Anolis sagrei: one gene and its partner. The main gene of each other region encodes a partner of the protein of the gene in region 2 in a complex. Links are inferred from orthologs where the notes say so. Each region holds a gene or a part of one and is shown on either strand. Other genes may lie near its edges. The genes, in order: CTNNBL1 and BCAS2.

Evidence for each region.
Region 1: BCAS2 (region 2) and CTNNBL1 share a complex: the UniProt entries of both Homo sapiens proteins name them as parts of the PRP19-CDC5L splicing complex. The link is inferred for Anolis sagrei from reciprocal best matches to the Homo sapiens genes BCAS2 and CTNNBL1.

What each region holds. Positions count from the first base shown.
Region 1 is NC_090024.1:245,566,021-245,581,242, reverse strand, and holds the start of CTNNBL1 (beta-catenin-like protein 1), read left to right. Parts: upstream 1-7,236; 5' UTR 7,237-7,373; coding exon 7,374-7,403; intron 7,404-15,222. UniProt on the Homo sapiens protein: Component of the PRP19-CDC5L complex that forms an integral part of the spliceosome and is required for activating pre-mRNA splicing.
Region 2 is NC_090024.1:203,187,320-203,202,956, forward strand, and holds BCAS2 (pre-mRNA-splicing factor SPF27), read right to left. Parts: upstream 8,307-15,637; 5' UTR 8,256-8,306; coding exon 8,163-8,255; intron 8,072-8,162; coding exon 7,979-8,071; intron 5,453-7,978; coding exon 5,382-5,452; intron 4,826-5,381; coding exon 4,664-4,825; intron 3,844-4,663; coding exon 3,793-3,843; intron 3,337-3,792; coding exon 3,256-3,336; intron 2,255-3,255; coding exon 2,128-2,254; 3' UTR 1,918-2,127; downstream 1-1,917. Other genes in the region: DENND2C (DENN domain-containing protein 2C), read right to left, coding at 14,036-14,067, 14,211-14,297, 15,292-15,531. UniProt on the Homo sapiens protein: Required for pre-mRNA splicing as component of the activated spliceosome. Component of the PRP19-CDC5L complex that forms an integral part of the spliceosome and is required for activating pre-mRNA splicing.

The DNA of each region.
Region 1 (15,222 bases), about 42 Mb from region 2:
AGATGGAAGGCAGTCCCGGTCAGGGTTGGCTTGATGTGCCTTCCTCTTGGCACGTTTCCCCCTTTATTTATTATTTACTGTATTTGTATACCACCCTTCTCAGCCTATCGGCAACTCAAGACGGTTTCCCTTTCACCCTACATTCGTCCCTCTTCAAATTCTACAGCACTGCTGGTCACAGCTGACCTCCATTTAGAGCGCTCAAGGGCCAGAGTTTCCCAGTTCTCGGTGCCTATGCCACTGTTTTTGAAATTGGTTTTAAGCCCATCTTTAAATCTCTTTTCCTGTCCACCAACATTCCGTTTTCTGTTTTTGAGTTCGGAGTAGAGCAACTGCTTTTTTTTTTTTTTTTACTTTCAACGTGTTCTAAAGGTTGTTTTTGAAGTGCAACTCAGGACACTATGGAGTCTTGGAATAATAATTGAAGGACCACTGGCATGACAAGTAATTCGTTAATTAATTATATTTCCACCCGTTTACTCAAGTTGAACACCATCTGGCCAAGAAAAAGCGAAGAACTGAAAATTTTATTTTATTGCATTTCTAACAGAACAAAACAAACAAACAGACAAAATACACAATTTGCGAGTTTGGAAGTTAATTAAATGTCCTTTGCCCAGTCTCTGACCACTTGGAGTGCCTCTGGTGTTACTATAAGAAGGTCCTCCATTGTGCATGTGGTAGGGTTCAGGGTGCATTGCAGCAGGTGGTCAGTGGTTTGCTCTTCTCCACACTCGCATGTCGTGGATTCCACTTTGTGGCCCCATTTCTTGAGGTTGGCTCTGCATCTCGTGGTGCCAGAGCGCAGTCTGTTCAGCGCCTTCCAAGTCGCCCCGGCTTCTGTGTGCCCAGGAGGGAGTCTCTCATTTGGTATCGGCCATTGGTTGAGGTTCTGGGTTTGAGCCTGCCACTTTTGGACTCTCGCTTGCTGGGGTGTTCCAGCGAGTGTCTGTGTAGATCTTAGAAAACTATTTCTAGATTTAAGTTGTTGACGTGCTGGCTGATACCCAAACAGGGGATGAGCTGGAGATGTCTCTGCCTGAAAATATACTTATGCTAATTTCATGATATTGCAAGTCAAAGAAGTGTTAGGTGGCTTCCGAGTCAGTGGGGTGATGAATCCACTCCTGACTTTAGTGGGATCTAAGGTGCATCTACATTGTCGAATTGATGCAGTTTGATCCCACTTTGGCTCAATGATAGGTAACCTGGGATTTGCAATTTGGTGAGGCACCAGCCTTCTTTGGCAGAGAAGGCTACAGATGTTGCAAAACTGTAACTGCAGCATTGAGTTGTGGCAGTTAACGTGGTGCTACACTGCATTAAATATTTAGTGTAGATCTGTGTTTCTCAACCTTCCCAATGCCGCGACCCGTTAATACAGTTCCTCATGTTGTGGTGACCCCCCAACCATAACATCATTTTCATTGTGACTCCATAACTGTAATTTTGCTACAGTTATGAATTGTAATATCTGAGATGAAGGATGTTGTTTCATTCACTGGACCAAATTTGGCACAAATGCCCGATACACCCAAATTTGAATACTGGTGGGTTTGGGTGGTTGGATGGGGAATTGATTCTGTCATTTGGGAGTTGTAGTTGCTGAGATTCATAGTTCACCTACAATCAAAGAGCATTTTGAACTCCACCAACGATGGAATTGAACCAACCTTGGCACACAGAACTCCCATGACCAACAGAAAATACTGGAAGGGTTTGGTGGGCATTGACCTTGAGTTTTGGAGTTGTAGTTCAACTACATCCAGCGAGCACTGTGGACTCAAACAATGATAGACCAAACTTGGCACAAATTCTCAATATGCCCAAATGAAAACACTGGTGGAGTTTGGGGGAAACAGACCTTGACATTTGGGAGTTGTAGTTGCTAGGATTTATCGTTCACCTACCATCAAAGAGCATTCTAAACCCTACCAGTGATTGAATTGGGCCAAACCTCCCACACAGAACCCCCATGACCAACAGAAAATACTGTTTTCTGATGGTCTTTGGGGACCCCTCTGACACCCCCTCGCGACCCCTCCAGGGGTCCTGACCCTCAAATTGAGAAACACTGGTGTAGATACACCCGACGGTCTCCCTTTCTCTTGTCTCGGATGTTCATTCTCTGCTTGCATTAAGCTAGGACAGCTGTCGCCGAGTCCATACGTCTTCTTTATTAACACTGGTTGCAAGCCTTCCAATTTCCTTGTAATGTTCCCAATAAACGCGGCGGTTTCCGCAGAGCAACTGTACGCCGGCGACTGTCGCAGCTGGTCCTTTATCTGTCGGCCCCATAAAAAGGATGCCAGGCGATGCCCGTCGCCCCATAACATCCGTCTCTCCTTTACAGCCGAGATTTGTTGCGCTAATTTCATCCCGGCTGCTTCGTCCCCGGATTCCCCGCAAGGACCAAGGTGCAAGCGGGGGCCGCCTGTCAACAAATTATATATGTTTTTAATTCTGGGCCCATCTTTCGAGCCAAACCCCTATGGAGACAATGCTGCAAACGAGGCTGCAAATGGCACCGGAGTCCTCCGTGTCTCTCTCTCTCTTGTATTAAAGCTGTTTTTCAGGGTTTGCAAGCAACTAGCTTTCCTTCTGTAGCTATTTGCGTTCGCATCCGAGTTATGTTTATCGCTACTTCATATATGGCTGAAAATGAAATGCATTTATTACGCACTCTAAACATAGCTGATGTGACTTTCCTCTGCTCTTGAACGCATCCGCCGAAAAGGGACACGGAGCCTCGGAGTCAGAATTTCAGTTTTCTCAAGAAAAAGTTTCACATTGTGCATTTACTCTGTAGAATGAAGAATTATAGAACTTTCATTGCTCAATGCTTTGCAATTATGAGAGCTGTGCTTTGGCAGAGAAGGCTTGTAAAACTATAACTTCCACCATTCCATAGCATTGAGCCAGGGCAGTTAAGGCTGTGCCAGACTGCATTCGCTCCTATACTCCTTGTTCCGGTACGGCTCTACCGGGAGATCCAACTTTATTTGCTTTGCATTAAATGTTTGTTTGCAGTCCTAGGTTTCAGGGACTCTGCAGATAGGTGGCTTCCTTCGGTTACAGTCATAGGGCAAGTCACCTGTCCATCATCGTTAAGTTTTGGTCCCACCCCTTGCTCAGGGCAATTGGGAAGGGAAAGGGGCCATTTTAGTTAGTCTCAGCAAGAAAAGCTAATGTACAGGACGTGTACAAGCTTCCCCTGTACAAAAGCTTCAACCCTTAAGAGCTTCCCGGGGAGAGCAGTCTTAAGAGTCTCCAAAGATTTCCAGGGAAACAGCCCTAAAGACCAAAGAACTCCAGCTGGAGAACATCTAAGCCTTTACTGGTAGGTCCACTCAGCGTTCGAGAAGCAGTTCGACCTGGTAGCAGAGCCCACATCAGTAAGGGTTAGATTACAGTCAGCCTGGGAGAAGTTAAAAAGGGGATTTTCCATTTAAAGTAAAGAAGAAGTTATTGAAGACAGTTGCCTTTCCTTTGTGGGCAAGTTTAGGAAGTCACCAGTTGCATAAAAGCCTGGAATCATTTGTTTATCTTTCTGAAGACAAGAGAACTTTCTGTTTGATTGTTCATTAATAAAAGACTTTGTTATACTTCACAAGCCATCTAAAGATCACTGGTGTTGGAAAACCTCTGAGAACTTCTCTTTGGGGCCCCCTGGCTTCCTGCTGGGCAAAGGTTGCACGTCCTGTTCTAAAGGAAATTCTTTACAGGCCTAGCGTGCAACAGAACACTCCTCATGATTACAGCTCATGGGAGTTGTAATGCAGGAACATCTGGAAGGCTGTGGTTTGCTCTGTTTAGTCAAGAGAGTGGGGTTTGGATTGAGATACAAGGCTAGCGGATAGGATGCCCAACTTTAAAACGATGAGACAAATGCAAGATACTCCACTTAGGCAGAAAAAACGAAATGCAAAGATACAGAATGGGGGACGCAAGGCTCGAGAGCAGTACGTGTGGAAAAGATATTGGCGCCCTCGTGGACAGGAAGTTAAACATGAGCCAGGAATGTGATGCGGTGGGAAAAAAGCCAGTGGGATTTTGGCCTGCATTAATAGGAGCATAGTGTCTAGATCTAGGGAAGTCATGCTCCCCATGCTCTATTCTGCCTTGGTTAGACCACTTTACCTGGAATATTGTGTCCAATTCTGGGCACCACACATTAGAAAACGTGGACCATTTCCGCTACCTTGGCAGCCATCTCTCCACCAAAGTCAACATCGACGCCGAAATACAACACCGCCTGAGCTCTGCAAGTGCAGCATTTTCCAGAATGAAGCAGAGAGTGTTTGAGGACCGGGACATCCGTAGGGAGACCAAGGTGCTTGTTTATAAAGCTATTGTCCTCCCAACCCTGCTATATGCCTGTGAGACGTGGACTGTCTACAGACGTCACATGCAGAACGTTTCCATCAGCGCTGCCTCCGGAAAATCCTGCAAATCTCCTGGGAAGACAAGCGGACAAACGTCAGTGTGCTGGAAGAAGCAAAGACCACCAGCATTGAAGCGATAGTCCTCCAACATAAACTCCGCTGGGCTGGCCACATTGTCCGGATGCCTGACCACCGTCTCCCAAAGCAGTTGCTCTACTCCGAACTTAAGAACGGAAAACGGAATATTGGTGGACAGGAAAAGAGATTTAAAGATGGGCTCAAAGCCAACCTTAAAAACTCTGGCATAGACACTGAGAACTGGGAAGCCCTGGCCCTTGAGCGCTCCAGCTGGAGGACAGCTGTGACCAGCAGTGCTGCAGAATTTGAGGAGGCACGAGTGGAGGGTGAAAGAGAGAAACGTGCCAGGAGGAAGGCACGTCAAGCCAACCCCGACCGAGACCGCCTTCCACCTGGAAACCAATGCCCTCACTGCGGAAGAAGATGCAGAGCAAGAATAGGGCTCCACAGCCACATACGGACCCACAAGGAAATCCATAATGGAAGACCATCTTACTTGTCCAACGAGGGATCGCCTAAGTAAGTAAGTAAGTACCACAATTCAAGAGAGATATTGACAAGCTGGAATGTGTCCAGAGGAGGGCGACTCAAATGATCAAGGGTCTGGAGAACAAGCCCTATGAGGAGCGGCTTAAGGAGCTGGGCATGTTTAGACTGAAGAAGAGAAGACTGAGAGGAGACATGATAGTCATGTATAAATATGTGAGAGGAAGCCACAGGGAGGAAGGAGCAAGCTTGTTTTCTGCTTCCTTGGAGACTAGGACACAATGGAACAATGGTTTCCCACTACAAGAGAGGAGATTCCATTTGAACATGAGGAAGAACTTCCTGACTGTGAGAGCCGTTCAGCAGTGGAACTCTCTGCCCCGGAGTGTGGTGAAGGCTCCTTCTTTGGAAGCTTTTAAACAGAGGCTGGATGACCATCTGTCAGGGGTGCTTTGAATGCAATATTCCTGCTTCTTGGCAGAATGGGGTTGGACTGGATGGCCCAGGAGGTCTCTTCCAACTCTTTGATTCTATGATTCTATGGAGGAGCCACAGGATGTTTAGAAGTTTGTTAGGGCACCTGATTTCTTGGACCATGGTCCAGAGAGTGCTGCGGTTCACTGTTTCGAATGCCTTTGCAAGGCCAATGAATGCCATGTACAGATTGTATTTCCTTTACAATTAATGTGTTACACTGTATTTGAAAGGTTATTGTCCTTAACAGGCAAGATCTCTATGCCAAGAATGGTTTGTAGGGCTTTCAAATGGGGGGGGGGGGGTGGAGATCTAGAAAACGGTCCTTTTCCCGACCCTGACCCTCTCCCTGCCTTATCCACGCATTGCACTTCGCCTATGGATCTAACTCATGCCAATTAGCAAAGCCACGTGCAGCCATTATTTAAGGGGGAAGGATTTCATGGCCGGAATCGAAGGATTTCATGGATGGAATCACTAGGTTCTTATGGGTCTTTTCGGGCTATAGGGCCATGGTCTAGAGGCATTCTCTCCTGACGTTTCGCCTGCATCTATGGCAAGCATCCTCAGAGGGAGTGAGGTCTGTGGGAACTAGGAAAAAGGGTTTATATATCTGTGGAATGACCAGGGTGGGACAAAGGACTCTTCTCTGCTGGAGCTAGGTGTGAATGTTGCAAGTCTGACTTGGCCACGGTAGTCCACGCTCTGGTTACATCCCGTTTAGACTACTGCAATGCTCTCTACGTGGGGTTGCCTTTGAAGATGGCCCGGAAGCTCCAACTGGTCCAATGTGTGGCAGCCATGATTCTAACAGGAGCGGGGTGCAGGGAGCATACAACCCCCCTGCTGTACTAGTTCCACTGGCTGCCGATCTGCTACCGGGCTCAATTCAAGGTGCTGGCTTTGGCCTATAAAGCCCTAAACGGTTCCGGCCCAAGATACCTATCCGACCGCCTCTCGGCGTATGAGCCCACGAGGATTTTGAGATCGTCCGGGGAGGCCCTGCTCTCGATCCCGCCTGCGTCACAGGCACGGCTGGCGGGGACAAGAGATAGGGCCTTCTCGGTGGTGGCTCCTCGGCTGTGGAACACCCTTCCCGTGGACATCAGGCTAGCTCCCTCCCTGATGATATTCCACAGGAAGCTAAAGACCTGGCTGTTTAAGAAGGCATTTGAATGAAGTGCAATGACTGGTAATTTGACCATAGGAATGGAACAACGGAAACGATATCGGATTGTGGGATTGACGATGAGACGACTCGGAATGGCTTTGTAGTAATGTTGATATTTTGATGAGATGTTTTCTGATAATGTGGAATTGTGGGTTATTTTACACTATGTTTTGTATTTTGCACCTGTTTTTCTATGTTGTACACCGCAATGAGTCGCCCTTGGGCTGAGAATTGCGGTATATAAGCGCAGTAAATAGATAAATAAGTAAATAACTGACCACCTTCATTAGCCTTTGAAGGCCTGGCTGAGCCTGGGGGAATCTTTTGTTGAGAGGTGTTAAGATGTGCCTGGTTGTTTCCTCTCTGCTGTTTTGCTGTTGTAATTTTAGATACACAAACTTAAATACAGGGTTAGTCAAAATGAATAGGCCAATAAGAATATTAATTGTACCCGAATTGGCCTATTCATTTTGACTAACCCTGTACACAAATTCCCGTATTTGCTTTTCCTGCGCGCGCTGCTCCTAGGCGAATTACGGCCCCCTGCTGGAATCTGGTCGAACCTTCACCCCGCGCGCGCCCTTCGCTTGACGGCAGCGCGGGCCAATCAAGGCCTTCCCTTCGCTTTACGGCGCCGCTTTGCGACGTTTCGCGACACCCGGAAGCACAAGGAGTCTCTCAGCTTACACCACCGGGCTTGTTTCTTTCTCTCTCTCCTTCTCTCTCTGTTTCGGTGTCTTTTCTCTTCAGGGAAGGAAAAGAAAGGAAAGAGGGAAGGCATGGACGTCGGGGAGCTGCTCAGCTACCAGGTGGGACCCCCATATTGGTATCGTAGGGTGGGATTATGTGGGGTTTCAGCATGAATGAGCTCTCTCTGTGTCTACAGCCAGGGCTTTGAGTGCGATTGTCCTCCTTCTTGGCAGAATGAGGATGGACTGGATGGCCCATGAGGTCTCTGCCAACTCTTGGGTTCTGTGATTCTATGAAAGAAAGGAGATTTCATCTGAACATTATTTATTTATTTATTCGCTGCATAAATAAATAAATAATGTTTATTTATGCACCCAAATACCTGGGAGTCACTTTGGACCGTGCTCTTACCTACAAGAAGCACTGCCTGAACATCAAGCAAAAAGTGGGTGCTAGAAACAATATCATACGAAAGCTGACTGGCACAACCTGGGGATCACAACCAGACACAGTGAAGACATCTGCCCTTGCGCTGTGCTACTCTGCTGCTGAGTATGCATGCCCAGTGTGGAACACATCTCACCACACTAAAACAGTGGACGTGGCTCTTAATGAGACATGCCGCGTTATCACGGGGTGTCTGCGCCCTACACCACTGGAGAAATTACACTGCTTAGCCGGTATTACACCACCTGACATCTGCCGGGAAGTAGCAGCCAATAGTGAAAGGACCAAGGCAGAGACATCTCCAGCTCATCCCCTGTTTGGGTATCAGCCAGCACGCCAACGACTTAGATCTAGACATAGTTTTCTAAGATCTACAGAGACACTCGCTGGAACACCCCAGCAAGCGAGAGTCCAAAAATGGCAGGCTCAAACCCAGCACCTCAACCAATGGCTGATACCAAATGAGAGACTCCCTCCTGGGCACACAGAAGACTGGGCGACTTGGAAGGCATTGAACAGACTGCGCTCTGGCACCACGAGATGCAGAGCCAACCTTCAGAAATGGGGCTACAAAGTAGAATCCTCGACATGCGAGTGTGGAGAAGAACAAACCACTGACCACCTGCTGCAATGCAACCTGAGCCCTGCCACATGCACAATGGAGGACCTTCTTGCAGCAACACCGGAAGCACTCCAAGTGGCCAGATACTGGTCAAAGGACATTTAACCAGCTACCAAACTCACAAGTTGTGTATTTTTCTGTTTGTTTGCTTTGTTCTGTTAGACTGGTTGTTCTGACACGACAAATAAAATTTGCTGCATTTGTTAACCGCCGTTCTCAGCCCTAGGGCGACTCACGGCGGTGTACAACATATAAAAGACAATTTACAATAAAGCAATAACGAAAAATCAACATATCACTAATACACAATAATATAATTACACTAAAATAATCCGCTCCGTCTCATCATAGAATCATAACCAATCTCGTAATCCATATTCCGTTCCAGTTGTCATTACCAATTAATGTAGCACTCAGTTAAATGCCTTCTCAAATAGCCATGTCTTCAGGCTCTTACGGAAAGACATAAGGGAGGGCGCCTGTCTGATGTCAACAGGGAGGGTGTTCCACAGCCGGGGGGCCACCACCGAGAAGGCCCTCTCTCTCGTCCCCGCCAAACGTGCCTGTGAAGCAGGCGGGATCGAGAGAAGGGCCTCCCCAGACGATCTCAAGGCCCTCGTGGGCTCATAGGCCGAGATGCGGTCCGAAAGGTATTTTGGGCCAGAACCGTTTAGGGCTTTGTAGGATAACACCAGCACCTTAAATTGGGCCCGGTAGCAGATCGGCAGCCAGTGGAGCTGGAACAACAAGGGCGTAGTATGCTCCCTGCGTCCCGCTCCTGTTAGTAACATGGCTGCCGCGTGCTGGACTAGCTGAAGCTTCCGGGCCTTCTTCAAGGGCAGCCCCACGTAGAGAGCGTTGCAGTAGTCAAGGTGGGATGTGACCAGAGCGTGTACCACCGTGGCCAAGTCAGACTTCCCGAGGTATGGGCGCAGCTGGCGCACATGAGGAAGAACTGACTGTGAGAGCCGTTCAGCAGTGGAACTCTCTGCCCCGGAGTGTGGTGGAGGCTCCTCCTTTGGAAGCTTTGAAACAGAGGCTTGTCTTGCGTTAGCATGAGTAGCATGCAGATTGACTCTAGCCCAGTTAACTGTGTGTGTGATGAAATTACTCATAAAAGAAAAACACACGAGACTTCGGCTTAAAGTAGAAAAGAAAATATTGTAGTATTGGCAGCATACAAAAACAAAGTAGCAGGATTCCTGTTTCCACAAAAGTAACATGAAACAATATCTTCTGAGAGATATCACTACTCAGCTGGGATAAGCAGGAATCCTTGTCCTCTTCTCATGGCTGTGTCTTCGCAGGACATCTGCAGCATAGTCCCCGGCTTACACAAAGCAGAACGGCACAGAGGCATAGATGCACAATAGCATAAAGGCACAATGGCAAAGAACTAAACACACAGTAGCTATCTTTATACACATGAAAATAACACTCTCAATTAACTCTTCAATCAACTGAAACAGCTGTAGCACAAACAGCCTTGAACCTTAAAACAACTTAAAGTTATAGCACAAACAACATTGATCCTTACAACAACTTAGATAAAGTACGTTGCAATCTCTTAGTAGCAACAAGGCTGGGTGGCCATCTGTCAGGGGGGATTTGAATGCAATATCCCTGCTTCTTGGCAGAATGGGGTTGGACTGGAGGGCCCATGAGGTCTAGGATTCTATGATCTGTTGTTGTTGTTCATTATTTTTAAAATTTTAACTACTACATTTGGCCCAGCCATTGGTTTTTAAATGTTATTGTGTTATTGTCGATGTTTACTGCCTATTTTTTTTGTTTATGAGCTTTATTTTATTGTTTTGTATTACTGCTGTTGTTGTTTTTTGGTGATGTATTGTGAGCTCAGCCTCATGTAAGCCGCACAGAGTCCCTTGGGGAGTTGTTGTTGTTGTTCATTCGTTCAGTCGTCTCCGACTCTTCGTGACCTCATGAACCAGCCCACACCAGAGCTCCTTGCCGTCTGTCACCACCCCCAGCTCCTTCAGGGTCAGTCCAGTGACTTCAAGGATGCCATCCATCCACCTTGCCCTTGGTCGGCCCCTCTTCCTTTTGCCTTCCACTTTCCCCAGCATCATTGTCTTCTCTAGGCTTTGCTGTCTCCTCATGATGTGGCCAAAGGACTTCCACTTTGTCTCTACTCTCCTTCCCTCCAGTGAGCAGTCGGGCTTTATCTATCTATCTATCTATCTATCTATCTATCTATCTATCTATCTATCTATATATATATAACTAAATGGACCAGTACAACCCTTGGGGAGACTTATTATTTATTTCGTGTACTTCTACCCCGCCCTTCTCAACCCCCGAGGGGGGACTCAGAGCGGCTTACAAAAAGGCACAATTCGATTCCTACACAATAATACAAATAAACGTGTAAAACAGCAATTAAAACAATTAAGACAGTTAAAACAATCAATATATATCACAGTCAATAAACCAATCCCAAGCTCAGCGTTCGCCAACTCAGAGTCCATATTTCGTTCTACATTATCTATTCCTATCAGTCGTCGTAGTCCTTTATTCATCTGCCAGATTGTCCAAACGCATGGTCCCAAATCCATGTTTTTAATTTCCTTCTAAAGGAAAGGAGGGATGTCGCTGATCTAATTTCCCCAGGGAGATGGTAGCGGGGTACAAATAAAGGTCTTTTAAAAATTATTATTATTCATTCAGTTGTTTCCAACTCTTCGTGACCTCATGGACCAGCCAAGGCCAGAGCTCCCTGTCAGCCATCACCACCCCCAGCTCCTTCAATGCCAAGCCAGTCCCTTCAAGGATGCCATCCACCCACCTTGCCCTTGGCCAGCCCCTTTTCCTTTTCCTTTCCATTCTTCTCAGCATCATTGTCTTCTCTAAGCTTTCCTTTCTTCTCATGATGTGGCCAAAGTACTTCCATCTTTGCCTCTACTAATCTTCCCTCCAATGAGCATAGAATCATAGAATAATAGAGTTGGAAAAGACCTCATGGGCCACCCAGTCCAAACCCATTCTGCCAAGAAGCAGGAAAATTGCATTCAAAGCACCCCTGACAGATGGCCATCAAGCTTCTGCTTAAAAGCTTCCAAAGAAGGAGCCTCCACCACACTCCGGGGCAGATGGTTCCACTGCTGAATGGCTCTCATAGTCAGGAAGTTCTTCCTCATGTTCAGATGGAATCTCTTTTCTTGTAGTTTGAAGCCATTGTTCCATTGCGTCCTAGTCTCCAGGGAAGCAGAAAGGAAGCTTGCTCCTCCTCCCTGTGGCTTCCTCTCACATATTTATACATGGCTCTCATCATGTCTCCTCTCAGCCTTCTCTTCTTCAGGCTAAACATGCCAAGGATGATGGTCCTCCAAGTGTAGTATTCTGGCGGTGGGTCCGTAGGTGACTGTGGAGCCAGATTCTTGATCTGCACCTTCTCCCACTGTCCATGTCTCACAGGCGTATAGCAGGATTAGGAGGACAATAGTGTTATAGACAAGCACCTTGGTATCCCTACGGATGTCCCGGTCCTCAAACACTCTCTGCTTCATTCGGGAAAATGCTGCACTCGCAGAGCTCTGGCGGGGTTGCATTTCAGTGTCAATGTTGAATTTGGTGGAGAGGTGGCTGCCAAGGTAGCGGAAATGGTCAACATTTTCTAATGTGACACCATTAAGCTGTTTTTCTGGCATTGGAGAGGGATTGGCCGGTGACTGCTGGAAGAGCACTTTGGTTTTCTTGATGTTAAATGACAGGCCGAGCTTCTCGTATGCTTCCGCAAAGGTGTTTAGAGTGGCTTGTAGATCTTCTTCTGAATGCGCACAGACAACATTGTCATCAGCATACTGGAGTTCTATAACAGATGTTGTTGTAACCTTGGTTTGGCTTTCAGCCTGCTGAGGTTAAACAGCTTGCCATCTGTCCGATAGATGATTTCCACTCCGCTGGGAAGCTTCCCATCAACAAGGTGCAATATCATAACAATGAAAATGGAAAATAAAGTTGGGGCAATAACACATCCCTGTTTGACATCTGATTCCACCTTAAATGGGTCACTTTGGGAGCCATTGCTGTTCAAGGCTGTTGTCATCATGGAGGAGCCAGAGGCTGTTCAGAAATTTGAATTGAATTGGAATTGCAGAAAAAGATATTAGGAAAACATTCCTGACAGGTAGAGTGGCAGTGGATTAGGTTGCTGCTCTGGAGTCCAGTGGAGTCTCTTTCTCTCTCTGTATGTGTGTTAAGCATCTGCTGTAAGTGTTCTAGTTGTATTTGCCTGTATGGTAGAATGGGTTTGGACTGGGTGGCCTTTGGGGTTTCTTCTAACTCTAAGGTCCTGTAATGATGATGGTGTCTATTCAAATCTCCAATGTCAGGAGTAGCAAAATATGTAGGTTAGGTTTTGCACCTTTTGCTCACTTGTACTCCAGTGAAATGTGATTGGTAGGCTGGGAAATGAGTGGTTTAGTGCACTACTTCTTAAACTGTAGGTCCCAACCCCAAATAGGGTCTTCTTAGCTCAGTGCTGGGGATACAAAAAATTGGTAACAGTAAAAGGCTCCTGAGCACCATCCATTTGCAGAAATCTGTTAGCAATAACCTGCAGTGATTACAGCGGACTATGCAGAAATCACTTCATCTGTACTCCACAAACTGGGAAATCAGCCTATTTAGTAGCCTTTGCAAATGTTGATTTATTACACTACTAGCTGTACCCATCACGCGTTGCTGTGACTAACCTTCCCTCCCTTTTTCTGGATCCATCGCAGTCTCTTTTCAAGCCTGGTCACGGTACCGAGAAGGCTTTGGTCGCCTTAGTGGATGACCTCAGCAGAGAACTTGACAGTGAGAGTGTGTCCTTGTTGGTTCTCCTGGACATCTTAGCGGCTTTTGATACCATCAATCATGGTATCCTTCTGGGGTGGCTCTCCGAAATGGGTCTTGGAGGTACTGCATTGCAGTGGCTCCATTCCTTTCTGGAGGGCCATACCCAGTTGGTGAAACTGGGGGATACCTGCTTGGACCCCTGGCCTTTGACCTTTGGAGTCTCGCAAGGTTTTATTCTTTCCCCTATGCTTTTCAATATCTACATGAAACCACTGGGTGAGGTCAACCGGAATTTTGGAGTTTGTTGCCATCTTTACGCAGATGACACACAACTCTATTACTCCTTTCCACCAAAATCCAAGGAAGCCCCTCAGGTCCTGGACCTCTGCCTGGCTGCTGTGATGGGCTGGATGAGGGCTAACAAGCTGAAATTGAATCCTGACAAGACAGAGGTCCTCCAGGTCAGTCGCTTGGCCGAACGGGGTATAGGGTGGCAACCTGTGTTTGACAGGATTACACTCCCCCTTAAGACATAGGTCTGCAGTTTGGGGGTCCTCTTGGACTCAGTGCTGATGCTCAGGTGTTGGCGGTGGCTGGGAGGGCCTTGGCACAGTTAAGGCTTGTGCGTCAGCTGCGACCGTACCTCGAGAAGTCTGAATTGACCATGGTGGTCCATGCCTTAGTTACCTCAAGATTGTACTACTGTAATGCACTCTACGTAGGGCTGCCCTTGAAGACGGTTCGGAAACTACAACTGGTGCAAAGGTCGGCAGCCAGATTGTTAACTGGACCAAGTTACAAGGAGCGGTCAACCCTCCTGTTTAAACAGCTCCACTGGCTACTGATAAGTTTCCAGTCCCAATTCAAGGTGTAGGTTATTACCTATAAAGCTCTAAACGGTTCAGGACCTGCCTATCTGCGCGACCGCCTCCTCCCCTATGAGCCCATGCAAACCTTAAGATCTTCTGGGGATGCTCTTCTCTCACTCCCGCCCTCGTCTCAAGCGCGGCTGGTGGGGACGAGAGAAAGGGCCTTTTTCGGTGGTGGCCCCTCATATCTGGAACTCCCTCCCCAGGGAGATTAGACTGGCACCCTCCCTAGCCACATTCCACAAGGAATTAAAGATGTGGATGTTTCATCATGCTTTCAGCTGACAACTCTTAGGACATACGACTTGTATCGTGACCTGAATCATGATTCAACCTGAATTCTATATTACATTACTATTCAGATTTTTAAGTTAACCTGAATTGACTCTGATCCTGTTGAATTGCTCTGTTTTCATGCTATTTCCTATGCTATTTTTATGTTTCCATCCACCCTATTTCCATCAACCAATTATCTTTTGATCAGCTCGTATATTGGCCTTCTCCCCCCTTTCAAAATTAGTCTCTTATTGCTTGATGCTTGTCTATTATTGTTATGCTGTTTTATGCTTTTTAAATTGTAATTTGTTATTGCTCTGCTTTTAATTGAATGTTGCCTGCAATCCAGGAATAGGAAATTGGAAATATGCAGGGATTAGGATGCTCTCAAAGAAATCCAAGGAGAAGAAAGCTTGCAGCTTGGAAGCAGTGCATTTGGATCATCCTCCTCTCCTAAAAGGCCTGGTCTAGGGGATGCTGGGAGCTGTAGTCCAAAAGAGAGTGTGGATATGCTATTGTGTGTTTTGTTTGCTAGGGAGAGTCGTTTTTGCGCATGCGCTGTATCATCTTTTTGCTTTTTTGGCTTTTTAAGTCTCTTCTGCTGTGTTTTTTAGTGTTTTTATGAGTGATGGTCACTTGTTGGCCTGATAGGTGTATTGTGTCCAAATTTCATATCAATTAATCCAGTGGTTTTTGAGTTATGTTAATCCCACAAACGAACATTACATTTTTATTTATATAGATATTAGCTGTCCCCTGTCACGCGTTGCTGTGGCCCAGTCTGTGTAAATGTGTTTTGAGTGTGTATATATTTGTGTGTATGTGTATATATGTGTGTTTGCGTATATATGTGTGGTTTTAAGCATGCATTGTAATGTTTTTTTTTTGCTTTTTCAGTCTCTTTTGCTGTGTTTTTAGTGT
Region 2 (15,637 bases):
TGCTGGTGGCAATATGAGCCCATTGGCAGGTCCTGACTGAGTTAAGGATGCATTGTTTCGCTTATCAGTTCTGTCAAGCTTGTTTTGCAACAGAGCTGTAGAACCTAGAATGTTATTTATGTGACTAGGTTTCTCAGTGTAGAACGTCCATACGAACACCCCCCCCCCCCCCCCAAATATTTGTCATGAAAATGAAATAAAAAGCTTGTTTCTATTTACTGAGATATTCTAGACTGTTTCTCGGTTATCAAATGTTACCAGTGTGCTTTTTGAAAGTAATGGCTAGACATTTTTCCAAATCTTGCAAGGGTGGCATGTGCAAATACATCTGTAACATGTTCTCCTGTGTACACAAGTGTGGTTGGAGGCTTGGACAGCGGAAGCATTAACCTTAAGAGGGCTAAATCCAGATCTCCTCTTGACGTAGGCAGCGCAGATGGAGAATTAAAATTCTTCAAGCCCTTAAGCAAGCTCTGGAAAAGGAACTGTGAAAAGATGGCTTGTCACTGATTAGGTGATAAGCTGCTAACAGAGGTAAGTGGATTTTAATGGATGAAATAGATAGGTCACCACCTTGTAGGTGTAACATCAACAACTCCTAAAACAAGGGCAAACAAGCTATCCAAAGTGAACATTTCAAGTCAACTCCTTTTATTCCCCTACATTTTTGGCCCTCAGAAAGATGCCTATCTTTCCCCATTACCCATGTATTTATTCTACTTCTTAGTCTCCTGTCTTGTGCAACAGCAACCTGTGCTTGCAATATTTCCATCCTGTTTGTCATGATCTTCCCTTTTGACATATTAATTCCTTGCCAATGTTTTCTTAAGGAACTAAAAATTCCACAAACCTTACCTATTATAACTCAGCTTTCTTTCAGACTTGTTTCTTTTATACAAAGTAAATAATATTCCCACAAGAATACTGAAGATAAATGATGCAGATTCAGAACTATGATAAAGTACAGAAAACATCAAAATGACACAATTAGAAAATTTGAGCTTTGATTAAAATATTCTTTACTGGCCATCATATCTTTTCATAAGGAGCATGTGCAACTGTGTTGTTTATAGTAGTTAATATAAAATCAGAACACATAATTGCAGTGACAGAAGAACAACAAAACTGCTGCACTTCCTGTCCATGATTCCTAACTGGCTAGCAATGTAAAGAAAAAAAAAGAAACTGCGGTGACATACACATCTTGGCAACTTCTTCCATTGGTAGGATCATCAGCTGAGGAGTCAGATGCATGAGCTCCTGACCCACCAAAATCAATTTCATTACATTACACAATATGTTGAATAAGTATAGTCTATTAGTAGTTGTTGACTATTTCACAAGGCCATGGTTATTGCTCCAATGTAACTTGAGAATTCTTCCCAGCATGGTTGCAGAATACTGCAGCATGCCATCAAAAATGTTCACCATTATAGTGACATTTGAAGATCAAGCACACAAAATTGTACACAACCAGTCTCCACACTCTGCTTCAAGTATCACTGCCCTGTTATCAGTGTATGCAGCAGCTATCATGTCAAGATGGTATGAAAACAGACTCCCAAACTATCCCACATTCTAGGAACCAAACAGATGTTCCTCATGTGTTAAGTAAAGATGCATGAAGTAGCCCATCACATTATGCCATTGTGTAGATATATTAACTGCTTTGTATATGACCTGGAATAAACATTTTTGCTCTTTCCATGCATACATGTATTAAAATGCACACACTTGCATTTGATTTAAATTTCCAGACCAAAAAGCCAATATAAAACACTAACGTATTCACCTTTTGAATATCACTTTGTCATTGTCCTGTGTCAGCTACACTTGCAATATAATCTTTATCATTAATTACTTTAAGTTTATAACAATATTTCTTTTCCATGGTAGCATGATGTATTTACTCATAAACATCATTGAAAAGTGTTTATTTTCAAATATCTCAAAAAACATACAGACAAACCCTATAAAAAAGCACAACTCCCATCCCAAAGTTCATGCCATAAATCTGGGAACTGAACAAGAAAGTCTCATCCTCGTAATCAGTTTGTTCTACAGCAAAAGGCATGAATAGGCTTTAGACAGTTTTTTATGTTTGGCAGCATAAGGCCAAGGCGAGTCTCAGAAGTCCTGTTGGATGTTTTCTTTGTTGGCTTCCCCATGTTGCTGCTTAATTTGAGAAATTTCATTTTCCAGCTGCACAATAGTTCGTTCAATCTCATAGTTTTTACTGACAAGAGACACCCAACTGGAGGGAAAACACAGAAAAATATACTTAAATCACTGTTTCCTTAAAGTTATGCCATTAACAAGAACATCAGATGGTAGTAAATGGGATGCTAAAAAGATTCTTAATAGGGAGGGAAATGGATAGGATGGAAAAGAGGGCGACAACTAGAGGGGAACAAAACCAAGGCAGATGTTTAACATAAATATATATGTACAGAAAGGAAGATGAGAAAAGACAGGACGAGATGGTTTCAAAATTATTATAAAATCAGTAATGAGCAGAAGTGGAAAGCCATGCAAAGCAGGTGAATGCAAAAACTGATACCTTATCACTGTTTTTCATTCTCATGCTAAAGACCCATTTATCTGCCTGACCTTTGTTGCAGATGTCGTTCTGTTTCTCACAAAATTTGTTTTTAATGTAAACGTGATTACTCATGATTTAAACCAGAAAAAAGGTTTATCACTAGATTATATAGGGCACAGCAGACCAGTGTATAATCCAGTATTTCTCATTAGGCCACATGGACATATTTAAACACACATATGATGCCTGTAATTGCAACTGTTTGGGGTAAGAGCACAAGATGTGCTTCTTGGTACACTCCAATGTGGTACACTCTATGTGTTAGCTCAAGCTAACGTAACTCTGCTTTGTTACTATAGGAAGAATGATATGAGGTATTTTAAAGAAATCTTTTCTGAAGAACTCACAAACTTTCAGCTATGATAGATTTAAAAATATATATTCCTTGAACTTCCTTTTCGCAGTCTGTAGAAACAGCACTGCTTTTCTAAACTCTCTCTCTCTCTCTCTCATATCTATAGATAGATAGATAGATATATTCTATGATAACACACATAAGGATCAGTTCTGCAATGGCACTGTCTTCAATCACAAAACAAAGTACACAAGTCAAGGAATTAGTCTTGCTGCTTCTCAACTGAGTAACACAGATATGTTTATTGAGGAGCTTCTAGAGACAGAAAAAATTGCACTGTTAAGTTCTATCTACTTACGTTGACTCCATCTCCCGAAGTTTAGCACCTGCTGTGAGCTGCATGTTCTTCCGCTGCCAGTTAAGGTCCTGAATGTGTTTTCTGGAAGAAAAATACAATTAAGAAAACCACTGCTAGAAAGTGTACATTCAGGACCCTTCCAGTTTGCCACCTTGACCAATCCCCACACCCAAAGCCATGCTGAAAACCAGTATATTTTGAAAACTAATGAGCAAATTAGAACAATTTGATTTAATTAGATCTAAATGAATGTCTAAGTTTGGTAATACACCTAAGCTAGGGTTAATGAGATTCTAGCCAGTAGAAGTCCAGAATCTGACCTGCACCTACTAGCAGGTTTAGTACATGTCGCAATAAACCAGATAGGAGAACTGTAATTCAGCAACTTCTGGAAAGGTGCAAAATGTGAATACAAAAATATAGAATTCAAGATATATATAGACTGTTCTTTCCCCCACCTCTCTATATATATCTAGCAAAACTGATATACATTGAAATCCTAATTATTCCAAGTCAGACAGAAAAGGCTGAACTTACCTCAAACTCTGTAGCTCTTTCTGTGCTTGTTCAATCATATGAACTAAATGTCTGCAAAATAAAGATTACATAAAATAAATATTTAATAACAAAGAAGTAAAGTAGGCCACTGATGCTAGTCAACCAAAATCAGATTTTGAACTCATTTTCCTGTTTACCTTTAACTGAATTGTACTTTTTTGTACATAGAATGAAAAAAAAATCAAATAAATGTAGTACATTTGACACATAGCAGTCATATTTAAGTTTTATTTAGTTTTTCCATTAACTTGTAATAATAGTGTTCCTTTAACATAATGTCAAATAAACAAACCATTTTATATAGGTGAAAGACAGTAATCACAAAAGCATTATTATAATGCAAAATAACTAGCATTTTTTAAATTCCTTTCTTCTCAACCCCCCCCCCCCAAAACTGGATTTGTGTTCTCACAAATGTTTGTTGAATCTTCCCAGTTTAAACGTGAATTTAATGAATTTAATTTTAAAAATCAGCAACAAGATACTTATTCTTGACTTGAAATATGAGTTTCTAACAAATAAGTTCCAGTCTCAATAACTAAAATGTGTCACACCTTCCATTATACAGCCATGAGAGTACTATATATAAAATGACCCCCTACTGTGGTTTATTATTTTCCAAACTGGCAGCTCATCATAATCATATTGGGGTGTAGAAAAGGCAGCAACGATAATACAGAGAACTGGAAACAATTATAAATCTGGCATGGGAGTCATGTAACTCTCCAAAAACTTTAGGATTTCACACCTTTTGACTATCAATTTGGAAGGTAAATGTATCAAAGGCAGCTGTGGTATATTTGCCTTCCAAAGCTTTTCAAGCAACTCCTGGAGACCATGAAAAACTTACTCATTATATACTTTCCAGGCATTGCAGCCATACTGAGACATCAACTCCAAATTCTCAATTCGAACTGCCTGGTGTTCCAGCTGAGCCATTGAGTTATTAACACATTCTTGCCATGCTGTAATGTCATTCTTCTGCCCAGAAGAGGGTGCAGGCAGTTCATACCTGAAGCCAAAGCAAGAGAAAGACTACTGCCCTCAAACAAAAATGCAAGTATTTGTTTTAACAGATTTGCGACACTAATTCTGATCATGACTCATTTTTATTACAATTTTTTTTACACATTATCAGTTTTGAACAATGCTTTACAAACTAAATATTATTTAAAATTGGAGATTACAGTAACAGACATATGCTTTCCGAATTGCACAAGTATCACTCAAAGCTGACTGTCTTCAACATAACAATCCTTAAGGCACAAAACTTTAGATCTATCCTCTTATTTCAGTAGAGTAGACTGACATCATGAGGCCAGAACTGGAATGCCGCTTTTAAAATATTGTTTCCCAAAGTCTCAGTCTCTATACCCAAGCCTCAGTCTCTATACCAGTGGTTCTCAACCTGGGGTCCCCAGATGTTTTTGGCCTTCAACTCCCAGAAATCCTAAGAGCTGGTAAACTGGCTGCGATTTCTGGGGACCCCAGGTTGAGAACCACTGCTCTATACCCAACATGTTGCCTTAGCATGGATGGTGCACTTTACTTCAGAATTTAACACTTACCTCTTCATACTCAGCAGTTCTATGGGTTGCCGGGCTGCAAGACGCTCAAACTCATTCCGCATTATTTCAGTCTATGAATCAAATTTACAGGATATAGCTGAGACCAGGAAGATATTGCATGGAGATTGTAATTATGACTGCTTGTGAAAAACTTTTGACAATTCTAATTTAAATGCATACATGGACATGAACAATGGCAAAACACTATTTTATCAACCATAGCTACTACTTAAAGTAGGAGAGACCCTTGGTGTACCTTCCTATAGATTCCTGACATAGTTTCAAATGATCCAAAGACTGAAATGCTTTTGGCCTTTATCCAGATAATGGAACAGTACCCAGAAGTTTTTCAAGAGGTGTTTTTTTTGGTTTTTTTTTTTGCATCTCCATACATACATTATGGATACTCTTTCCATTAGAAGACGGTTTGGGACCCACCTACCTTTGTGACTGCATCTCCTACCACAAACCTGCACGATCTCTTCGATCTTCTGGAGAGGCCCTTCTTTTGCCTCTTCCTTTATCGCAGGCTCGACTTGTGGGAACAAGGGAGAGGGCCTTCTCCGCTGTGGCCCCACACTTCTGGAACTCGCTACCTGGGGAGATCAGGCAAGCCCCTACCCTAGCAGCCTTCAAGAAACATCTAAAAACTTGGCTCTTCCAATGTGCCTTCAGAGAGTGACCATTCAACCCATTTGTTTGTTTCCGCCTACAGTTGTCCTCATGATAAAGCACCTTCCCCTGTCCTTTATAGAGGCCAAAACTCCACTGCTCCTCCTTCTTGGGCTCCTTTCTCACAAATACACTTTTTTATTTCTATCTCACCCAGGGTTTTAATTTTTTAACATTTTATCTCATACATCTGGCCCGCCCTTTGTATTTGATTTTACTATGCTATTTTATACTATTTATTTTATTTGTTGTTTTATATATTTTGTTGTAATGTATTTCTCTGTTGTTTTGTGTCTATTTAGGTTGTATTATTTTTGGGCTTGGCCTCATGTTAGCCGCCCTGAGCCCCCTTTAGGGAGATGGTGGCAGGTTATAAATAAAGTTTATTATTATTTATTATCATCATTTGACATTGGTGGCTTTTATATTAGTCAAGTCATGCAGTTTATTACCCTAAAAGTGCCCATTTAAACCTCTGAATTTTCTTACTTTATTATTATAAGACATTTAAGTATTTCATTGAAAGGAAATATTACATCACAAATAAAATCCTTCATTGTCTCAGCAGATGGTTCCTAAAAGGCTTATGCCACAATACTTCACTTCACCTTATTTCTTAATTAGTCACTCTCCACCAAGGTGCTCCGAGCGACTTACAATCTAAAATAGCATTTATACAATATAAAAACATTCAACATAAAAACATTCACTTGTTTCTAAATTGTGTTCGTTTAGGAAATGCAAACGGGGTGAAAATAAATGTAACAACAACAAGGTGCTTAAAGAACCTTTTGGGGAGATGTTTTTTTTCTTTCTTTCTTTCTTTTTTTGCTACCGGGCTCAATTCAAAGTGCTGGTCTTGGCCTATAAAGCCCTAAATGGTTCTGGGCCAACTTACCTGTCCGAATGTATCTCCCCTTATGAACCATCAAGGACCTTGAGATCGTCTGGGGAGGCGCTGCTCTCGGTCCCGCCTTCGTCTCAGATACGTTTGGCGGGGACGAGAGACAGGGCCTTCTCAGCCCCCCCCCCCCCGCTATGGAACGCCCTCCCTAGAGAGATTAGATCTGCTCCCTCCCTCCTCACGTTTCGGAAGCAAGTCGAAACATGCTTGAGCAAGCATTCTCAAACACAGAGTAACGGATATGGATAAATGATATAGGAATGGACCATTGACGATAGAACTGGACAATGCTTGACAATAAGGAGACGCTAATGATGTTGTTTTTATTGTTGTTGTGGTTTATGTAATTGAAATGTTTTAAAATGTTCTATGATACTGTGTATACTGTTTTGTTGGAAAGCTCCTTGAGTCGCTGATAGGCTGAGAAAGGCGGTATACAAATACAGTAAGTAAGTAAATAAATAAATATTTTGTTGTTTTGTGTATCCTTTGTCAAGAGATAAAGCAGGGTATAAATAAACATCGTAGTAATAATATCACACCAATGCCTCCACAATTTCTAAAGAGACACATAGCCTTGCATAGAAGTGGGAATCTTTGGACATCTCCAAAGCAGTGCCTCCCAAACTATTAAGTCTTTTTGATGTTTTGAACTTCAACTCTCAGAAGCCCCTGCTGCCTTGCGACTTGATAAGGTATTCTGGGACCTGAAGTCCAAAACAACAGCTCTCTAAAACAGGCATGGGCAGACTTGGGCCTTCCCTCCAGGTGTTTTGGACTTCAACTCCCACCATTCCTAACAGCCTCAGGCCCTTTCCTTTTTCCCCTCAGCCGCTTAAGCGGCTGAGGGGGGAAAGGAAGGGGCCTGAGGCTGTTAGGAACGATGGGAGTTGAAGTCCAAAACATATGGAGGGAAGGCCCAAGTTTGCCTATTCCTGCCCTACAACAATTAAGAGGTTCTCCTGATCCTTGACGTGAGGGAGGAAGCTGCAAACCGGTCTCCTAGTCAGGCCTTCCTCACCTCAAAAGCGCCGTAGTCAGGCGCCGGCAGGTAACTGAGGTAGTTCTTGGTGGGCCGGTACCGCCGCGTCTCCTCCTCGACCAGAGCCCCGGCCTGCAGAGAGAGACAGAGAGAGAGACAGGAGGGGGTCACCTCCTTGCCCCTTACGCCTCACCCCTCGCCCGCCCACCGGCGCCCCACTCACCGCCTCCCGCACGCCGGTGGCCTCGTAGCCTTGGTCGAAGTAGGGCAGCGCGTCGACGGCCACCTCTCCCGCCACCAGGCCCGGCCCCGACATACTGCTGTGTCTCCTCCTCACGCCGGCGACTCAACTCTCACCGCGCCTGCGCTGTAGCCCGGGCTCTCCACCGCGCCTGCGCAAACGCAGCAACCCGGCGCATGCGCAAAACTCGACAGCCCATTCTTTTTTTTTTCTGAGTTAAGATTTTTATTGGTTTACTAGCCGTCCCCTGCCACACGTTGCTGTGGCCAGTCTTGTGATCTGGGAAATAGAGTAATTAGAAAGTGTTGGTTTCTAATATTTGTAATTTCTTTATGCTTGTGGGTAAACAGTATTTCTTGCTGTATCTTTTGTCAGTGTTGATATGGAGATTGTCTGTTTTGTCGCAACCCCCAATGGGGCTGCAGAGCATTTATAGTAAATGGAATATACATTTTCATTGGTTCCCAAAGACAAATCATTTCATTGGTCTAAGTTAGTTATGCAGTTGTTCATTTGTTTATGATTTTGGTTGACATTATAGCACACGTGGGATCCTAACAATGGCACAACTATAACATAACTATGGTCCATTGTTCTCTGACCATGACTGTATCTTATCTGTTAGTCTATTGCAAACATGGCTTCAGAGAGACTGGGAAACTTGGGGGTTCTAACTAGCTAGCTGGTTTTGTCCGGATATACTGTTATCCTTGAATAGTAACTTCTTCTTTGGAGCGCTGATTTCTCAAACAATCAGCATTTTCTGTGAACATAGGCCTACTGCAGAAATAGGCCAATATGGCAGTAAATCATGACATATGGGCATTGGGATGATCTCTGAAAATTGTCTTTTTAAAACTACGTCCCCTCCAATATCATTGTCCTTCTTTAGGGGTCCATTTCAAATCTATGCTACTATATCTCTGTGTGTGAATCATATTTCTATCTATCTATCTATCTATCTATCTATCTATGGCTGGATGGCTCTTTGTCAGGAGGGTTTTGATTATGTTTTCTTGTCCTGGTGAAGGGACTTGGACTGATTGGACTTAAGTATGGGAGTTCTGTGTGGGAAGGTTGCCCCAGTTCTGTCGTTGGTGGGGTTCAGCATTCTCTTTGATGAACTATAAATCCCAGTAACTACAACTCCCAAATGTGAACGTCGATTTCCCCCCAACTCAATCTGTGTTAATATTTGGGCATATGGAATATCTGTGCTAAGTTTGGTTCAGATACATCATTGTTTGAGTCCACAGTACTCTCTGGATGTAAATGAACTACAGTTCCCAAACTTAAGGTCAATGCCCACCAAACCCTTCTAGTGTTTTCTGTTGGTCATGGGAGTCTTATCTGCCAAAATTGGTTCAATTCCATCATTGGTGGAGTTCAAAATGCTCTTTGATTGTAGCTGAACTATAAATCCCAGCAACTACAACTCCCAAATGACAAACTCAGTTTTTTGGAGTGAAGGACATACATTGGGTTGTTAGGTGTCTTGTGTCCAAATTTGGTGTCAATTCATCCTGTGGTTTTTGAGTTCTGTTAATCCCACAAACGAACATTACATTTTTATTTATATAGATATCATTAATAAGTATCTATATATCACACCAATGCCTCCACAATTTCTAAAGAGACACATAGCCTTGCATAGGAGTGGGAATCCTTGGGCATCTCCAAAGCAGTGCCTCCCAAACTCTTAGTCTTCCTGATGTTTTGAACTTCAACTCCCAGAAGCCCCTGCTGCCTTGCGACTTGATATGGTATTCTGGGAGCTGAAGTCCAAAACAACAGCTCTCTACGACAGGCATGATCATGGAGCCCCCGGGTCATTCTTGTTGCAACAGTGTAGTAACAGTGAAGCTGCGGATCATATTTTAGTCCTTGTGGACCACTGGTGGTCCATGGACCACAGGTTGGGAACCACTGCTGTAAATGGTCAAAGAATGTCTAGACCAGGCATGGGAAAACTTCGGTCCTCCAGGTGTTATGGATTTTGAATCCCACAATTCCTAACAGTCCCAGGCCCTTTCCTCTTCCCCCGAGGGGAAAGGGCCTGAGACTGTTAGAAATTGTGGAAATCAAAGTCCAAAACACCTGGAGGGCCAAAGTTTGCTCTTTCCTGGTCTAGAATGTCTTTAATTCCATCATTAAGTTAATGTGTTAAAGGTTTTGTATTGCCACTTGTACTGTTTTTAGTGTTGTGAGCCACTTTTGACTCTTGTTAAGAGAAGAAAGCGAAATATAAATAAATATAATTATCACCATCAGCTGACAGGAATGTTATTGTGTTGGAAAATGTAACCTTCTTCAAGCCTCCTCTAGTAATTTGTTTATAATCCTGTTGCTTATCTATTGTATGTATGTTCTGATATGTAGCTTTCTTTCCTTGCTCTGTTTTTCCTGATAAGTTGTGGGAGGGGTTGCAGATCACGTGACCCGCTCTGAGACTTCTTTAGACTTTAGGACTACTCAGATGGCAGACTTGCAAACACTTGCCTGCTGTTTATTATGAGAGAGATGTTCTGACCGGATGACACAAAAACTATCTCAAACGTATCTGTAACTGACTGATACATTGTGTACCTGTGTATGCTGAACACATGAAGGTTATGAGTAAAACAAATATGTTATTTATTTATTTTTACCAAAGTCTTATTTTGTCATTTGAGTACATAATATAAAACATGTTGTTTTATGGGAGAGTAGATATGTTTTTGCATATGAAAAATTCATCTGAAGAACTGCTGTTCTTATGCACTGACATATTCCTAACAACTGAAGCCAATTGCCTTGCATAGTTACATTTGGTTGTATACCACTTGAGAAGATTCTACTGAAACAGGTTTTTTGGCTCTTCTTTAAAAGATCATGATCTCTAAAAGGTTGTGCTTTTCTAAAATAATTGAGCAATAAGGAGTATGTTGTGAAATACTTTTGACAACTGGAGAATGATGGTTATTAACTGTTTGACAGATAGTGGCTGCTGAACAGCAATGTACTAAGAATGCATCCACACTGTAGAATTAATTCAGTTTCGCACCACTTAGACAGCTACAGTGCAATGTTATGGAATCATGAGAGTTGCAATTTTTGACAGAAAGACCTTGGGAGAGAAGATTAAGGACTTTGTAAAACTACAGCTCCCACAATTCCATAGCTGCTGTGGCAGTTAAAATAGTGCCAAACTGCATTAATTCTACAGTGTAGCTGTACCCATAGGGACAGAAACAATCCTCCAGCAGCTTGTTCTGGCCCATTCATTGAGTCACATCTATAAAGTTACAAAGAGCCACTTCAAACAATCCACTTCTGTCATCCAATATCATTCATGAGGCAGGCAACAATATTCTGCACAAACTACAGCTTCCAGATATTAACCGATCACCACCCCTTTAAACATTTACGTTATATTTCCAATGAAGTAATGAAGAGTGGCCCCACTCCTGCTCTGATGGGCCTTTTTGGGAGACCAAAGGTGTAAAGAGCACTGGCTTTCAGGACCAAAAGATACAATGCCATACACAAAAATCCAGTACATTTTATTTGAACCAGTTTCAGAAGGAACGTGGTTTATTACAATTCTGTTACTGTACATTAAAGTTTTGGTTTCATCTGTACACCACAGAATATGGCTTTATCCAGAATGCAGAAAACAGGCTGTATAAAAGACAAAGGAAATACAGAGGAAAAAGACAAAACACTGACCAGAAGGAACATGTTTGTTTGTTTTAAATCAAAAGTGAAGGGAAAATAAGGGCACGAGGAACAGCGTGGCTGGAATTATAAAGATTAGGTTACACATTTCAGGGGCTGAACTGACCCAAGGGAGGACCTGAATAACAGAACCACTAAGGTGCTTCTTCCCGCTCTTCTGATCAAGTGCAAGTGTTCAAGTGCTAATACAAACTTTAAAAACATTGACCCAAGTCTTGCTTTCTTAGTAATCTGTTTATGCAAGAGCAGCGGAAAAACACATTCGAAACAAAACTGCAGTATCAAGCTAGGCCAGTCCATGATTCTGAAACACATAAAATTATTTCCATTTTTTGTTTAGGTCTCACATGCTACAGCATGATGCTATGCACATTTACTCAGAAGATAATTGAGATTGTGGTATTTATTCTTAGCTTAAGGCTAAACTCTTACATAGAAGCACTTGCTTGGGTATAAATCCCACTAGATTTAGACAGCCTTAGTGCTGAGTAAATCTGTACAAGAGTGAGTGGTTTGTTTTGCACAACTATACAAAGAAAGAAAACATTTCCTAAATCTCCTGAAACACCTTCTGCCCCCAAGGTTTTGGCAATTCATTCTGGCTGCAATACTGTAAACACAGGTAGAAGTTCAGACTATATGCATTAACTCCAATAATGGTGAATTATCTCTCATGTCTTCATATCGTGAAAAATGTTTTCTCCTTATGTTCTGCAAGAATTATGCCTAATCTCTATGCAGCACCTTTCAGATCTAGGCAATCTCTCTGTACATCAATTCATCACCCAAACTGAGAGGGCCAATTTGGCTGCACTTTTTGGCATCCAATATATCAGCATATCAAAGCGTCAAAACAATTCCTCTTCTATGAACAATTTTGTACTCACTCCAAGGCTGAACAACAGTACTGTGCGTTACACCTGAGTCCATTTGTTACATGTAAACATACAATGACGATCCACTGAAGGTCAAATCCACAGAAGCAACCGGAGTAAGTCCAACAAGAATAATGATGCCATGCATTGTATTTGAGTAAATGCATGGAGTGGTTATTTGCCATTTTAAAACAGTTATTTTATATGGTGTGCAAATCACAAGAACAACTGAAGGGGGCTGTGTTGGTTTGCTTCCTATAATAGTGGCGACAAAAGCTTGTAATATTAGGCAAAGGTTTAGATGAAGAACATATTGTAGTGGATGTTCAGCTATGATAAATCAGTGGTACAATGCACCCAGGAAGTTTTTCTAACCCATTCAGGTTTCACAGCAAACTGGAACTATAAGAAACTCATTTTTTTACAAACTTTCTGCATTAAACAATGAGCTCATTTACATTCTGTATTTTTTAAAAAACATATTGATGGTCCCAGTTGGGATCAAATTGCATTCTCCTGACAGAGGGTATGTCCCTTAACGTAGTAGAGATGATCTTGTAAAAAAGTCAGAGAACACGTATATTCGAAACAGATAACACAGACTAAGTTTTATAGTATAAAAAAGGAGGACAAACAAAGAATTTTGTTATTTTGTTTTCTCTATCTACAAAATATACAGCTTTGCAACACATCACTAGAAGAAGTAATGAAACAGATAATGGCACAAACTAGGCCAATGGCAGAGTGACCTTTACAGGGCTACTTTTGCAGATGAGGACGGAAGAACATCTTCAACAGGTTTGCCTTTCCAGTTTAAGGGAACATTTTCTTGTGAAAAGAATATCCATAGGGCTATGTGACAGCTGTGGGAAAATGTCATATTTCTAGGCACATTCTTCTTTTTTTACTGGTATCAACTTAGTCCTTAAATCACTCAAACAATGGGTGACCTGAGAAAGTCTTTAGGCCAAGCAGCATAAACAAAGACACCGTTCACAGAGTTAACCAAGTTCCTCATTACAGACCAGTTTTACAACTAGAAGCCCAGTTTCTCCCAGTAATACTCCAGCAGGACCAGGCAAAGTAAAGATCAGTAATTCCACCCAGATCTGGTGCACTTTTTTTTCCAGTCGCTTGAAGCTCATCTTGAGCTGCTTCCCAGAAATCCGATCTGACACCACAATGACAGGCAATGAGATACCCCTTGTCATTGCGGATTGGGAACTGAAATCCATGCTTAGCAGAAATTCTGCAGTGAACTTCTTACTTCTTTTGCAGAAACTTCATTTTGTTACCTAAAAATATATAAAATATAGATTTACAAGGTTGACTACATGTTTAATCTTTGCCTTGTTGCCACTTGCACATTATAGAAATACATTTTAATACGTGTATTTATAGAATCTTTACAATAATAATGTATCTTAGCCTGACTTACCCAGACTACGAAGGATTTTATTCATCCCACTTGGCTCAGACTCTGGAATGGTTTCCAAATATTCAAAAGCACGGACCTCAAACAACCCTGCAAAAAGAAAAGCATCACTTAGAAACACACTATATTTCTTTAGTCTGAATTATGTTCATACACATACACTACACAAAAAGGACTTCTGTAAAACAACAGCATGAATCATGGAATTATGCAGCATAAAGTGTGCCAATTATACACAGGCTTCAAGATGCAAATACCATCCTTGTGCATATATATCTATATATCTGATAACAGATATCTGCACATTTTGTAACATATGTTTGTGCAATCCTGAATTTATTGTAACATATGTTTGTTATTTCCACACCAAGAAGGAAAAGAAAGGACTTCTTTCCATCATTCTGATATGTATTTACTTAGCTGAGATTAAAAAAAAAAACCTATAAATTATGTTAATGTGCATAGATATGTAAAACTTTACACAGATTATCTACAATGAAACTCTGAAACAACATTTGTAGACATTTGCTGTGCGGCTAAAGACATGTTAAAAGAAAATAAGGCACCTTTTTTCCTCATGCCTGGAGCAACTTGAGAAACTGCAAGTTGCTTCTGGTGTTAGTGAATTGGCCGTGTGCAAGGACGTTGCCCAGGGGTCGACCGGATGTTTTACCATCCTGTGGGAGGCTTCTCTCCTATCCCCACATGAGAAGTTGGAGCTGACAGATGGAAGCTCACCCTGTTCCCCGGATTCGAACCACCGACCTTTTGGTCAGCAGTCCTGTCAGCACAGGAGTTTAACCCATTGTGCTACTAGGGGCTCCTAATAAGGCAACTGAGGCACCTCAAAGAAGTGAATATTCTACTCAGTAATTCAACTTTTTCCCAAGACAAGTTCATTAAAAATGTTTTTGGTGGTGCTGGCAATGAACTACCAATGTTGTCACGAGTGTATAAAGGTTCCCAACAAATTGTACTGGAGTACCTTTCAGAGGACGTTCTATAAGCATAAAGGCATTTGGGTTTTATACGATTTTTAATTTCCCACGGAGAGAAATGTAAAGCTGAGTTTGGTAGATCTCACCTTTAACGGCACTTTTCCGGAGCTCTCTGTCCTGTATGAAACCAGCAAACATTTGTGTTTCCATGAAAATTTCAAGGAAATGGCGCACATTGCGAGAGGTGTGGGATTTCCGGAAGGGTTCCCGCTGGAATACCCGCTCCCCTTTCTCAGTGACATGCATGTGCAAGGAGTAGTGCCCCACAATCTCCACGAAGAAGCGAACAAAGGCCTCAGATACAAGAGAGTCCAGAGTCACATCACCTATTAGAAAATAACAGAAAAGAATCACATCTCTCTTCTAGAAAGACAACAACCTCTACTCCTTCCCCATTAGTTACAAAACCTACAGAACCTGATCTCTGGGTCA